3 linked regions of the Mus musculus genome follow. The main gene of each other region encodes a partner of the protein of the gene in region 2 in a complex. Links are inferred from orthologs where the notes say so. Each region holds a gene or a part of one and is shown on either strand. Other genes may lie near its edges. The genes, in order: Stbd1, Gabarapl1 and Nbr1.

Region 1 (4,186 bases), on a different chromosome or scaffold from region 2:
GAGGAGGGCTGAGTGATGCTCTGATCTACAGGTATAGCAACAGTCTATTTGAAAGTTAAATAATTTAATAATAAAACAGGAGTCAGTATTGCTCTGTTCTCCACCTCTCTACCAGTTGCAGCCTATGCCAAGAGAGGAGCAACCCACCAGGAAGTCTCTCTCAGGAGATGTGTGATCTCTTGTGATCTCAGTGATCCAGCGAGGTGCACTGTTGAGTGATTGATCCTCCCAGAGGGAGCCATGTTAGCAATAATTGCAAGGCATATACTTTCCAGCTGTGGCCTCAGCAACAGGATGTATGTGTTTAAAGGAAAGACTCCAGGTAAAACACCCGGCTCTTTACCCTGAGTAGTGTGCACATCAGCACAGCAGTGTGGTCCTTCCTTCACAGGATTTCTGTTGTGTGAGGACCAATTTAAGTTCATACACAAAACACTTTGACTATATGATGCTTTGATAAAGGGTTGCTGCTTTATTAATATTTACTTGTAGGGGCTCCGTGTCTGGGCAACATCCAGTTCAGCTGGGTGGGTGGGTGTGCAGCAACACGCGTGGCGAGAGAGAGAGAGAGAGAGAGAGAGAGAGAGAGAGAGAGAGAGAGAGAGAGGAAGAGAGAGAGAGAGAGGAAGAGAGAGAGAGAGAGAGAGAGGAAGAGAGAGAGAGAGAGAGAGAGGAAGAGAGAGAGAGAGAGAGGAAGAGAGAGAGAGAGAGAGAGAGAGAGCGCCAGAGCCTGTAACTCCCCACTGGAAACGGGAGAGAATTTCGAGTTTGAGGCAGCCTGGGGTACGGAAAGACTTCTAGGCTAGTCTAGAACCTTTTTTTAAAAAAAAGAGTGTAGGAGGTCCCAGAGGTAAAGGCGAACAAGATTGGCGGAGGTGGTGGGCCTTTATGTAGAGATTTGAGAAAGCTGGGGATGGATTGGAGCTTCCCCTAAGCCCCTGCGCCCTCCCCACGATCCTTACTCTCTCCACCCCTAATTGTGCTAACCGTCCAGTGAGAGCCTTCTCCGGCCTCAGAGCTCCGGGCGCCCATCTCCTGGCTCGGAGCTGTGCGTAACCGGGCTCTTCTGGCGTGGGATAAAGTGGAGCGGGACCAGGTGTGGAAGGGCCGGCAGCGGTGATGGGAGTGGGCGAGAGCCGGGTTGCGGGGCGGGGCGAGCGGGGCGGGAGGCGGGGCCAGGAAAATTCGCGGCGGCCGTGGAAGGCTGGGCTGGCGGCCAAGAACCTTAAAAGGATGGGGCGGGCGGGGTGGGTGTGGCCGTTCGGGTGAGCGGAGCCCTGCACTGGGGCTCGTAGTCTCCCTCAGCCTCTCTCAGCCATGGGCGCCGTCTGGTCAGCCCTGCTGGTCGGCGGGGGTCTAGCTGGAGCGCTCATCCTGTGGCTGCTGCGGGGAGACTCTGGGGCCCCGGGGAAAGACGGGGTTGCGGAGCCGCCGCAGAAGGGCGCACCTCCTGGGGAGGCTGCGGCCCCGGGAGACGGTCCGGGTGGTGGTGGCAGTGGCGGCCTGAGCCCTGAACCTTCCGATCGGGAGCTGGTCTCCAAAGCAGGTATTCTTCCTCCCCTCGAGCTAGTTGTTTTGAAGTTCTCCGGGGAAGGGGAAACGAAAGGCACTTGGAGCCATGCGGGTGGGTTCTGGTGGACCACCTTCCCCGACCTCGGACTGAACCTTCTTCAGCCCTCATCGCGTTCTGGGGTTGTCCTGTCCTGGAGAGGCCACGCGGGTCCTCCAGAGGCCGCGCCCAGCTTCTGCCGCCTCAGCGGGCACAGGCTCCTCCGCCTGGCCGCACTTGGAGCAGTGTACGAGGATGGCTTGGGGGGGGGGGGGCATCTCACAACTCTTCAGTTCCTGCTGAAGCTGAGAGGGACATCTTCTGAGTCCCAGTCGCTGACATACCACACCCCTCCTTAGATCTGGGGCTTATGAACACTCACTTCCTACTATCTGGGCAGCTTTTTCAGGAAAGTAAAATTCAGCTTAGACTTAGGTCATGAAGGCCACTGTAGCTGAGGCTTTGTGCTGGCGTGTGAACAAGTGGTGGCCTACTAGGGAATCGAACTCTGATGAGAATTGTCACCTAAGTTTAAATCTACATTTTAGAGACCCTGCATCAGGCAATCAGTGTGCACTGGCACAAACCCTTACCTCCTGTGCCCTTTGCCCAGCTGCCTGGCAGAACTTATTTTTAGTGGTGGTCATTTGTAGCTACTACGTGAAAATCTTTCCCACGGCTGGGTTTTGATAAAAGGTTCTTCAGAAAATTAGGACTCCAGAGTAATATTTGCTGACATCTCACTTTGAAGGTCATCATTAAAAAGAGGCAAACATGTAGCGCAGAGTTCTCCTAACCCCTGCTGATTTATGGTTTTAGGGCGGTCAGGCTTCTAGGAGAGGTCGCCAGGAATGAAGCCAGGGTTTTAGAGAACTTGGATAGTATACTTTTAAGAATAGTTTTTATAACTGTATGTACTTATTAAGGAGGGTGGGTGGGATGGGAAAATCTTGTGCTTGTTGAAGACATTACTTTTCCCTCAAGCCCTCCCCACCCCCACCACACCCCCCCCCCCCAGCTCCACTCAGTCTTGTTCTCGGTTTTCTTCACACTGACTGCTATGCTTTCCAGTTAGCTGGAGCTGGCCCGTCTTGTATTCACTGCCAGGGAGTTCAGGTGTACTCTCAGGTGCAGGGTAGCCATGTAATCCTTTGTTCTATAGAAGCCACCAGCATGTGAGGCTGGGCCTTGTGCTAAGCTCCTGCCCCAACCCTTGGACAGCATTTTTTTTTCTTCTTTTCTTTAAATGACAGGAGCCAAGTGACTTAACTTTGGATACCTGCCAACATGGTCTGGACTGTGGGAGACTTTGCAACTTGCCACTTCATTCTCTCTCATGGTGTGTGCTGAGACTCCCCAAGTGTGCTTTTGATCGTTGGCTCTACATGTGTGCTCTTAGAGCAGTGTTGGGAATGTTCAAATAGGTACTTGCTTTTTTTAAAACAGAGCCTTGAACTGTACATAGAAATAAAGACAAGAGCAAAAGTTTTCTGCGTCTTCCTTTGTGAACCACCTAATGTTACTGCCCTTTCCTTTCTTAGAGCATCTTCGAGAAAGCAACGGACATTTGATTTCTGAGAGCAAAGATCTTGGTAACCTGCCGGAAGCACAGCGGCTGCAGAATGTTGGAGCAGACTGGGTCAATGCCAGAGAGTTTGTTCCTGTTGGGAAGATTCCAGACACACACTCCAGGGCCGACTCTGAAGCGGCAAGAAATCAAAGCCCAGGATCTCATGGAGGAGAATGGAGACTCCCCAAAGGACAAGAAACAGCTGTCAAAGTAGCTGGCAGTGTGGCCGCAAAGCTGCCCTCCAGCAGCCTGCTTGTGGACAGAGCTAAAGCAGTCAGTCAGGACCAGGCAGGCCACGAGGACTGGGAAGTGGTGTCTAGGCACTCATCTTGGGGGAGTGTTGGTTTGGGTGGCAGTCTTGAGGCTTCTAGGTTAAGTCTAAATCAGAGAATGGACGACAGCACAAACAGTCTTGTGGGAGGAAGAGGCTGGGAAGTAGATGGGAAAGTGGCATCTCTGAAACCTCAACAGGTCAGCATCCAGTTCCAGGTGCACTACACCACAAACACCGATGTGCAGTTCATTGCAGTGACTGGAGACCATGAGAGCCTTGGGAGATGGAACACATACATCCCACTCCACTACTGCAAAGACGGGCTCTGGTCTCATTCTGTCTTCCTGCCTGCAGACACAGTGGTGGAGTGGAAGTTCGTGTTGGTAGAGAATAAGGAAGTTACTCGTTGGGAAGAATGCAGCAATAGATTCCTGCAGACTGGCCATGAGGATAAAGTGGTTCATGGGTGGTGGGGGATTCACTGACTCAGTTTTCAGAGCATCCAAGAGGCTGCAGCAGAATGTGGACAAGGCTAAGGCTTTAGAGCGCACTGCATAGCTTAAAGTAAAGGCGGTGTGATTCCAATTGTAGCCATCAGGGCTCTTTCAGATTTGCTAGTGTGGCTTTTGTCCAAAATGTAGGAAGATGTATGCCTGCAGATAATGCTTCCTGTAAGCTGGCACTTGTCCCTTATTGTATTGACTGGTTTGTGCTGACACATCAGGACTTGAGGAATTGATCATCCTGGGTAGTTGCATCTTGGGTAGTACACCTGAGGTATGGACTACATATG
Region 2 (3,468 bases):
CACACACACACATTTAAAAAAAGGAAAAAAAAAAACTCCTCACTCTAGCAAGGAGAGCACAGAAACCACAAAGCATCTACTGGCATACATACTCACGGGAATATATGCTATGGAATAATAAGGGCTAGACCAGGGGTTACTAGATGTGCATCTGACTATTGGAGCACAATGGGAAGGCAGTATCATGTGTGACATCGTACAAGGAGTAGTACAGTCACAATCTTAGGTCACATTATTTGTATATGAAGTCCTCACTACAGTTTTTCCCAAATCAGATCCTAACTTGACACTTTAACTCATTCCCTGTACTCAGATAATGGAAACTCTTACGTGGCCTCCGGTTTGCTCTAGAAAGAGAGCTTCCAGATGTGCCTGTCCTAAGCCGAATCTTGGCCGTTTATGTGGGAGCTAACTGGGAAGACAGGGCTCCAGGTTCAGACGGAAAAGGAGCCAAGGGTTGCTGGTGTCTCTTTTCTCCATCTATTGCTAGATGTGGATGGCTGACAGGCAGGAAATGGAGTGCACAGTTCACTAACAAACTGTGCTTCCAGAGACAGTAACAGAAGGGTGAGCATGGTGATGCTTTGCTACCAAGAACCACTGGAACCGGCAATAAAGTACTACAGTCAGGAAAGACTAGAGAGAGATTTCAAAAGATTAAATCGAGTAGGTGCTCAGTCCCTAAAGGACAAAGGGTATCTAATCTCCCAGCGTCACAGTGCTGTGTGTAAGAGGATCCCCATAAATAACACCTCCTGCCCTACTTCCCAGGTGTTTAACAAACCCTGGAACCAGAGCGAAGGGACACCAGGCTGCTGGGTATTGTGATCAAGACCATTACCTCATACAGCTGGCCCATGGTAGCACTGGTGGGAGGGATGGTGTTGTTGACAAAGAAGAATAAGGCGTCCTCAGGTCTCAGGTGGATCCTCTTCCGGATTAAGAAGTAGAACTGGCCAACTACAGGAAGGAAACAGAGAGCAGGGTGAGAAATGAAAAAGGATTAGTAGGAGAAACCTCAGAAAACAAAATAAAATCTATTGTGTAAGTACAAGCTTTTCAGACCCAAAAGCTGTCCGAGAGCCTTAGTGGGAAAATAGAAAAGGAGGCATGTACAGTGTCTGACCCACCACACTGGGACTGTCCCCTCCCTTCTTCCTCATCCATCTTCAGACTCAATATTAGCAAATCTATCCAGCACGACTATTGTGGGGGAGTACAATGTAGATCCAAGCATTCCCATCTAAATGGACTCCTGATTCCTTTGGGGTCCCATTTGCACTCTAAGAGCTAACAATAGGAAGAGATCCACTGCACTCTGGCCCTCCCAGTACCATGGGGGCAAATGTTGGGACAATGAGCCCACGCAACTTCTTCCTGCAAACAATGAAGCTCTGGGAGGCTGACAGGCAAATGCGTGAACACTGCATCTAAAAGAATCTTTCCAGGGCATCCTGAAGGCACCTGGTACTTCTTTAAGAACAAGGTAAACTCTAAATACATATAATTCAAAACAGAAAGTAGGCTAGGTTTTGCAGTTTTCATCTCCCAGACAGAAGCACATTTAAAGATAAAGTATTTGGATATAAATCTCTGAAATGTGATCCTCCTTGGTGACAATACCCAAGACACGGCTGGAGCTGATATAAATCGATCCACCTCAGGATAGCATGGCTGATTTTTAAAGTGGTATAAATGACAAACTTTTGTTCTTTACTCCCAGAGTACTGCTTTCCTGTGTCTCCATGACTAGGGTACATGAGTATGGCATTGGGAAATATCAAACAGAACTAGAAACAGGAGGGCAGAGTATGCCTATCTGTACTGGCCAGCTCACTGAAGGAAACCATGCAAGGTCACCACCTACATGCAGTGACAACCCATATAGTCACCAACTTAGACTTAAAGATCAAGAATGCTTTGCCTGGAATGAAAGGTCAGAAGAGAGAAAGATGGTTACCAGTGAGGTCGGAGGGCACAAGGTACTTCCTCTTATCCAGATCAGGGACCCTGGCTTTAGGAGCCTTCTCCACGATGACCTAGAAGAACAGGAGACTGGGATGAAAACCAGACAGCCTAGCATTGTCTTTTTCCTTACATACCTGAAATTTGCCCATGCTGTCCAGTCTCATTTTTCAGTCCCCATTTCCAATACTCCTTGAGTTTAAACAACTACAAATTACCTATAAAGGGCTATAAAAGTCATTCACCCTACGGTATTTTATTAGAGAATTGAAGAGATGTTCTGTGTTTCTAAGATGTGTCTGATGACCTATTTATTTTTCCTCTAAAATACCATTTACAGACCCAGGAGAAGAAGCAGTCACAAAAGCGCTCTCTGTCAAAGTGTGAAGACTGAGTTCTGATCCCCAAACTCCATGTGAGTGCCCACTGGATGTGCAGTCCCCATGCTGGGAAGGCAGAAACTGGAGATCCCTGGGTCAAGCTGGCTGGCTGGAGTAACTAAAGGGGCAAGCTCTGGATTCACACTGAGTAATGTGAAGAGTAAGCAAGAATTGTGTGAGATACCAACATCTGGCCTCCACATACATACACGCAATCACACACATGCTCCCTCGCCTGTGTACACACTTACACAGAGGGGGAAATGCCATTTGTTACAAGCACAACATTATAATTTAGAACTTCACTGCCTTTCAAAGGCCGTTGTGTTAAAAAAAAAAAAAAAAAGTGCTCCTGCCTTGGTGCTATGAGCAAGTGGTAGAAACTTTAAGGGGTGGGGCATCATGGAGGTTTTAGGTGTTTGAGCCAGAGACTAATCCTCCCTCATCTGTGCCTCTATGCTTCTAACACGATAGTTTGACGCACCACCAGGCCAAAGACTGGGGCCATCTAAGAGCATGGACAAAGACTTCTGAAGTCAGTAGCTTTCTTTCCCTATAGAATTTGACCTTCTCAGACACTGCTACAGTGATGACTAACACACACACACACACATACACATACACACGCACGTAATGTGGTTCAGATTTCAATCTTTGCAGAAAAGTGTTCATTGCTGAGTGAAAGCTATTTTGAATTTTTATAATGAGGGACACTTTTTGAGAGTCACACACTAAGTTATTCAGCATTAGTAACCGTGTTAGAATTTTAAGGGACTTTCAATGTCGACATTAAGTTTTTTCATAACACTTTTAAAGATTCTGCATTTTGTAACAAAGAAAAAGACACAAAATCTTCGGTGATGTTTACAGAGTGGCTCAGAGAACAGAAAATATCTGACAAGAATATTAACATTAGATTCTTTGTTTTGAAAATCTCATCTTAGAGATAAGAAATGGGAAATACACAAAAGCAAAGAAGCAGAAACAACACTGGACAAGTATCCCTAGAAGCTGAGTGTCTGTCAGTGTGTTTCCGACCTTTTCGAGCTTCTTCATCAAGCCACATACCTGTCCACCCCCAGATACCATACAAACAAGTACAAGAAAATGCTTGGGTAGACAG
Region 3 (3,047 bases), on a different chromosome or scaffold from region 2:
TGTATGCCTCCCTCATGCTCTGGGTTTCCACTCTTTGTTTGTTTTTTGTTTTTTGAGACAGGGTTCTCTGTGTAGCCCTGGCTGTCCTGAAACTCACTCTGGTCTCGAACTCAGAAATCCGCCTGCCTCTGCCTCCTGAGTGCTGGGGTTAAAGGCGTGAGCCACCACGCCCGGCCTGGGTTTCCACTCTTAAGCCTGTTGCAGACCTTGCAGAGGTGGGCACTGTGCTGTGCTGGGAAGAGCAGCCTTGGAAGCCAGCCAGCTCCAGCTCCAGTTTTGCTTTTCCTCACAGACTAATGCGGCAGCTCAGCTGGTTTGTGATGCCTTCAGGACTGCGCCCTTATTTTAGGTCTCAGGACTGTAGAACTGTGAAGGAGTCAGGAGGTCCCCACTCAAGGTCACTTCCTCTTCCAAAAAATGCCCAACCTAAAACTCTGCGAACTAACACATCAGGGTTACAGGATTAGAGGGTTATTTTTCTACTCAATGATGTCCCCAGCATTTCTAGACAATTTGTCTTCCTCTGTGACTTAAATCAGCCACAGACCTTTCTAAAACTTAAAAGAGGAAAAGAAAGGAGAAAAAAACTAAAGACACCCCCATTAACTTGCCGCCTGCCTTGATAATAGCTTGTGGGTGCTGCAGCTAACCAACAGCTCTTTTGCTTTTAGAGCCCAGAGGCTCAACAGGACTCGCAAACAGCAGACAGAGGAGCTGTGACCACTCAAGGTAACGACCTTGTGAAGTCTCTTCTTGAGAAACAGGAAGACATCCCAGCATTGCTTCTGCTTGAATGAGCCTCTGAGAGCAGGTGGCGAGCACCTTAAATGAGCACCTTCCAAGCACAGGAAGGAGCACCCTCATTCCTCCTTGTTCTTACGTCTGACACTTATGAGCACCACCGGCAGAGAGCTAAAGCTCATGCTTAAGTGCATCACTTTTTAGGGATTACCCTGAAATCCACCTCACCTGTAATGCCCAAGAAGACAAGCAGGCCAAGCCCCAGGTGCATCTAGCTGGTTTTCTTACATACCGCTGCCTCTCTGGTCCCTGCCGTCTCAGATCAGAATCCAGAAAAATCACATTTCCTTTGCCAGGTTTTCTCTGAGATGTACAGACAGATGGCTGATATCCAGGTGTGCCCATGACCACATTAATTTTCAGCTGGGATGGAAAACTGGCGTAGTAACTAGGGTGTGCGTTTCCTGCAGTACTCAGGTCTTCTGCCAGCCGAGCCAGAGCCCTGCAGCAAACCAAGATCTGTAGCTATGAAAACATTTCATTCTCTCTTTTTACATCTGATTTTTTTTTTCTTTTAAGGATACCTTATTTTTCTTTCGAGATTATCACCCACATTATCTTGTAAGGTCATGTTTTATTAGGGGAGATAATTTGGTTTTCCTCTGTAGGCACCACAATGGGAGCAGCATTGCTGGAGGACTGGTGAAGGGGGCTTTGTCTGTTGCTGCCTCTGCGTACAAGGCCCTGTTTTCTGGGCCACCAGTCACTGCACAGGTCAGTGTGTGGTTTCTTTTCCTTAACTTCAGCCCCCAAGTCACCAGTGCAAATGGCAGTCCTTCTGTCTGGATTGGCAATTAACATGGCAAGGACTATGTGTAGACAGTCTCTTTAATGAACACACAGCCTGCCCGCCATTTCCTATCATTTTAATTAATTAAGCTACTCTGGGAAAAACAGGAAAAGAACCTAAGATTTGTTGAAGACTGCATGTACAAAGTTGCTGTTCTACAACAACGTAGTGGACATACTACGGGATAATAAGACACACATTCCTGTCAAACAACTGTAGGGAATTGGCAAAGTATATACATTTCCAGGACAGGATAGGACACTGTGCTAGTGCATCTCCACCTACTGGGACTGAGGCTCTTGGGAGTTAGTATCTGAAGCACAAAGCAAGTGTACCCCAGAAAAGTAATGCTGGATATGATAGCGCTCACCTATATTCCCAGCTACTCAGGAAGCAGAAAAATTGCAAGTTCAAGGCCAGCCTGGGCTACATAGTAAAACCTTTTTTCAAAATAAAATTTGAGAATATAAAACCATAAAAAGGTACAAATGTAGTTTAGTAACAGTAGAACTCTTGCTTAGCACCCTAGGTTCAGTTACAGGTCTTGTCTTCTCCTTTGGAGATAGAGTAGTGTAGCTGGAAGAGTTGTGAGTGAGCGGATGATGGATTGATCTGAAGAGGAGAAAAGACCAACTCTAAGTGCGGGGGTTTTATTCTAAGACATAGAAGGGGAGGGTTGTTGTGTTGTTATGGGTTTGTTTGTTTGCTTTTGGAACAGAGTCTCTACATATCTCTGGCTGTCACTGTAGAGCAGGCTAGCCTTAAACTTACAAATTCATCTGCTTCTGAGAGCTGGGACTAAAGGCTCTACACCTCCATTAACAGGAAAGAGATAGGCGCGTGAGGACCTGCCGGTGATTTAAGTGATTAGCAAAGGAGTGCAAGGATAAAGCTCAGGCTTTAGCCTAGGTACTCAGTATCACGCATCTCAGTGAATAAAGGTGCTTGCTGCCAAGCCGTGACACCCGGAGTTCCGATCCCGGGAAGGAGAGAACTGACTCTCACAAGTTGTCCTCTGGCATTCACATGAGCACCCCACACACAAACATACAGTAAAATGCATAATAAACTGGGCGTGGCGGCGCAAGCCTTTAATCCCAGCACTTGGGAGGCAGAGGCAGGTGGATTTCTGAGTTTGAGGCCAGCCTGGTCTACAGAGTGAGTTCCAGGACAGCCAGGGCTACACAGAGAAACCCTGTCTCAAAACTAAAAAAAAAAAAAAAAGCATAATAAATACACCCCCAAGTAAAACAAGTTTATTACTTGCCAGTTTTCTTAATGTTGAATTTACAACTTATCCAGGTTAAAAGTAAAGTCATGCAGCATGCAGTTGGCTGTGTACACCTCCATTACAGAGGATGGATTTGACCTGAGGCTGAAGTTTGAGAGTCATTTACATACAGGTTCTAGCAGGAGCTGTGTGATTGGATAAGATTATCCAGGAAAAATAAAAGGC

The links.
Region 1: the proteins of Gabarapl1 (region 2) and Stbd1 are in contact, whole or in part, in a crystal structure (PDB 8X8A), measured with the Homo sapiens proteins. The link is inferred for Mus musculus from reciprocal best matches to the Homo sapiens genes GABARAPL1 and STBD1. Residues at the interface, in NP_113600.1 of Homo sapiens: Glu17, Ile21, Tyr25, Asp27, Arg28, Pro30, Val31, Ile32, Lys46, Lys48, Tyr49, Leu50, Val51, Pro52, Asp54, Leu55, Gly58, Gln59, Phe62, Leu63, Arg67, Phe104; in NP_003934.1 of Homo sapiens: Glu201, Glu202, Trp203, Glu204, Met205, Val206, Pro207, Arg208, His209, Ser210, Gly213.
Region 3: the proteins of Gabarapl1 (region 2) and Nbr1 are in contact, whole or in part, in an NMR structure (PDB 2L8J), measured with the Homo sapiens proteins. The link is inferred for Mus musculus from reciprocal best matches to the Homo sapiens genes GABARAPL1 and NBR1. Residues at the interface, in NP_113600.1 of Homo sapiens: Glu12, Tyr13, Lys16, Glu17, Lys20, Ile21, Lys24, Tyr25, Arg28, Pro30, Lys48, Tyr49, Leu50, Val51, Pro52, Phe104; in NP_005890.2 of Homo sapiens: Ser729, Glu730, Asp731, Tyr732, Ile733, Ile734, Ile735, Leu736.

What each region holds. Positions count from the first base shown.
Region 1 is NC_000071.6:92,601,792-92,605,977, forward strand, and holds the start of Stbd1 (starch-binding domain-containing protein 1), read left to right. Parts: upstream 1-1,259; 5' UTR 1,260-1,317; coding exon 1,318-1,546; intron 1,547-3,090; coding exon 3,091-3,878; 3' UTR 3,879-4,186. UniProt on the Homo sapiens protein: Acts as a cargo receptor for glycogen. Delivers its cargo to an autophagic pathway called glycophagy, resulting in the transport of glycogen to lysosomes.
Region 2 is NC_000072.6:129,536,062-129,539,529, reverse strand, and holds part of Gabarapl1 (gamma-aminobutyric acid receptor-associated protein-like 1), read right to left. Parts: intron 2,040-3,468; coding exon 1,961-2,039; intron 961-1,960; coding exon 842-960; intron 1-841. UniProt on the Homo sapiens protein: Ubiquitin-like modifier that increases cell-surface expression of kappa-type opioid receptor through facilitating anterograde intracellular trafficking of the receptor. Involved in formation of autophagosomal vacuoles.
Region 3 is NC_000077.6:101,576,523-101,579,569, forward strand, and holds part of Nbr1 (next to BRCA1 gene 1 protein), read left to right. Parts: intron 1-671; coding exon 672-729; intron 730-1,409; coding exon 1,410-1,515; intron 1,516-3,047. UniProt on the Homo sapiens protein: Ubiquitin-binding autophagy adapter that participates in different processes including host defense or intracellular homeostasis.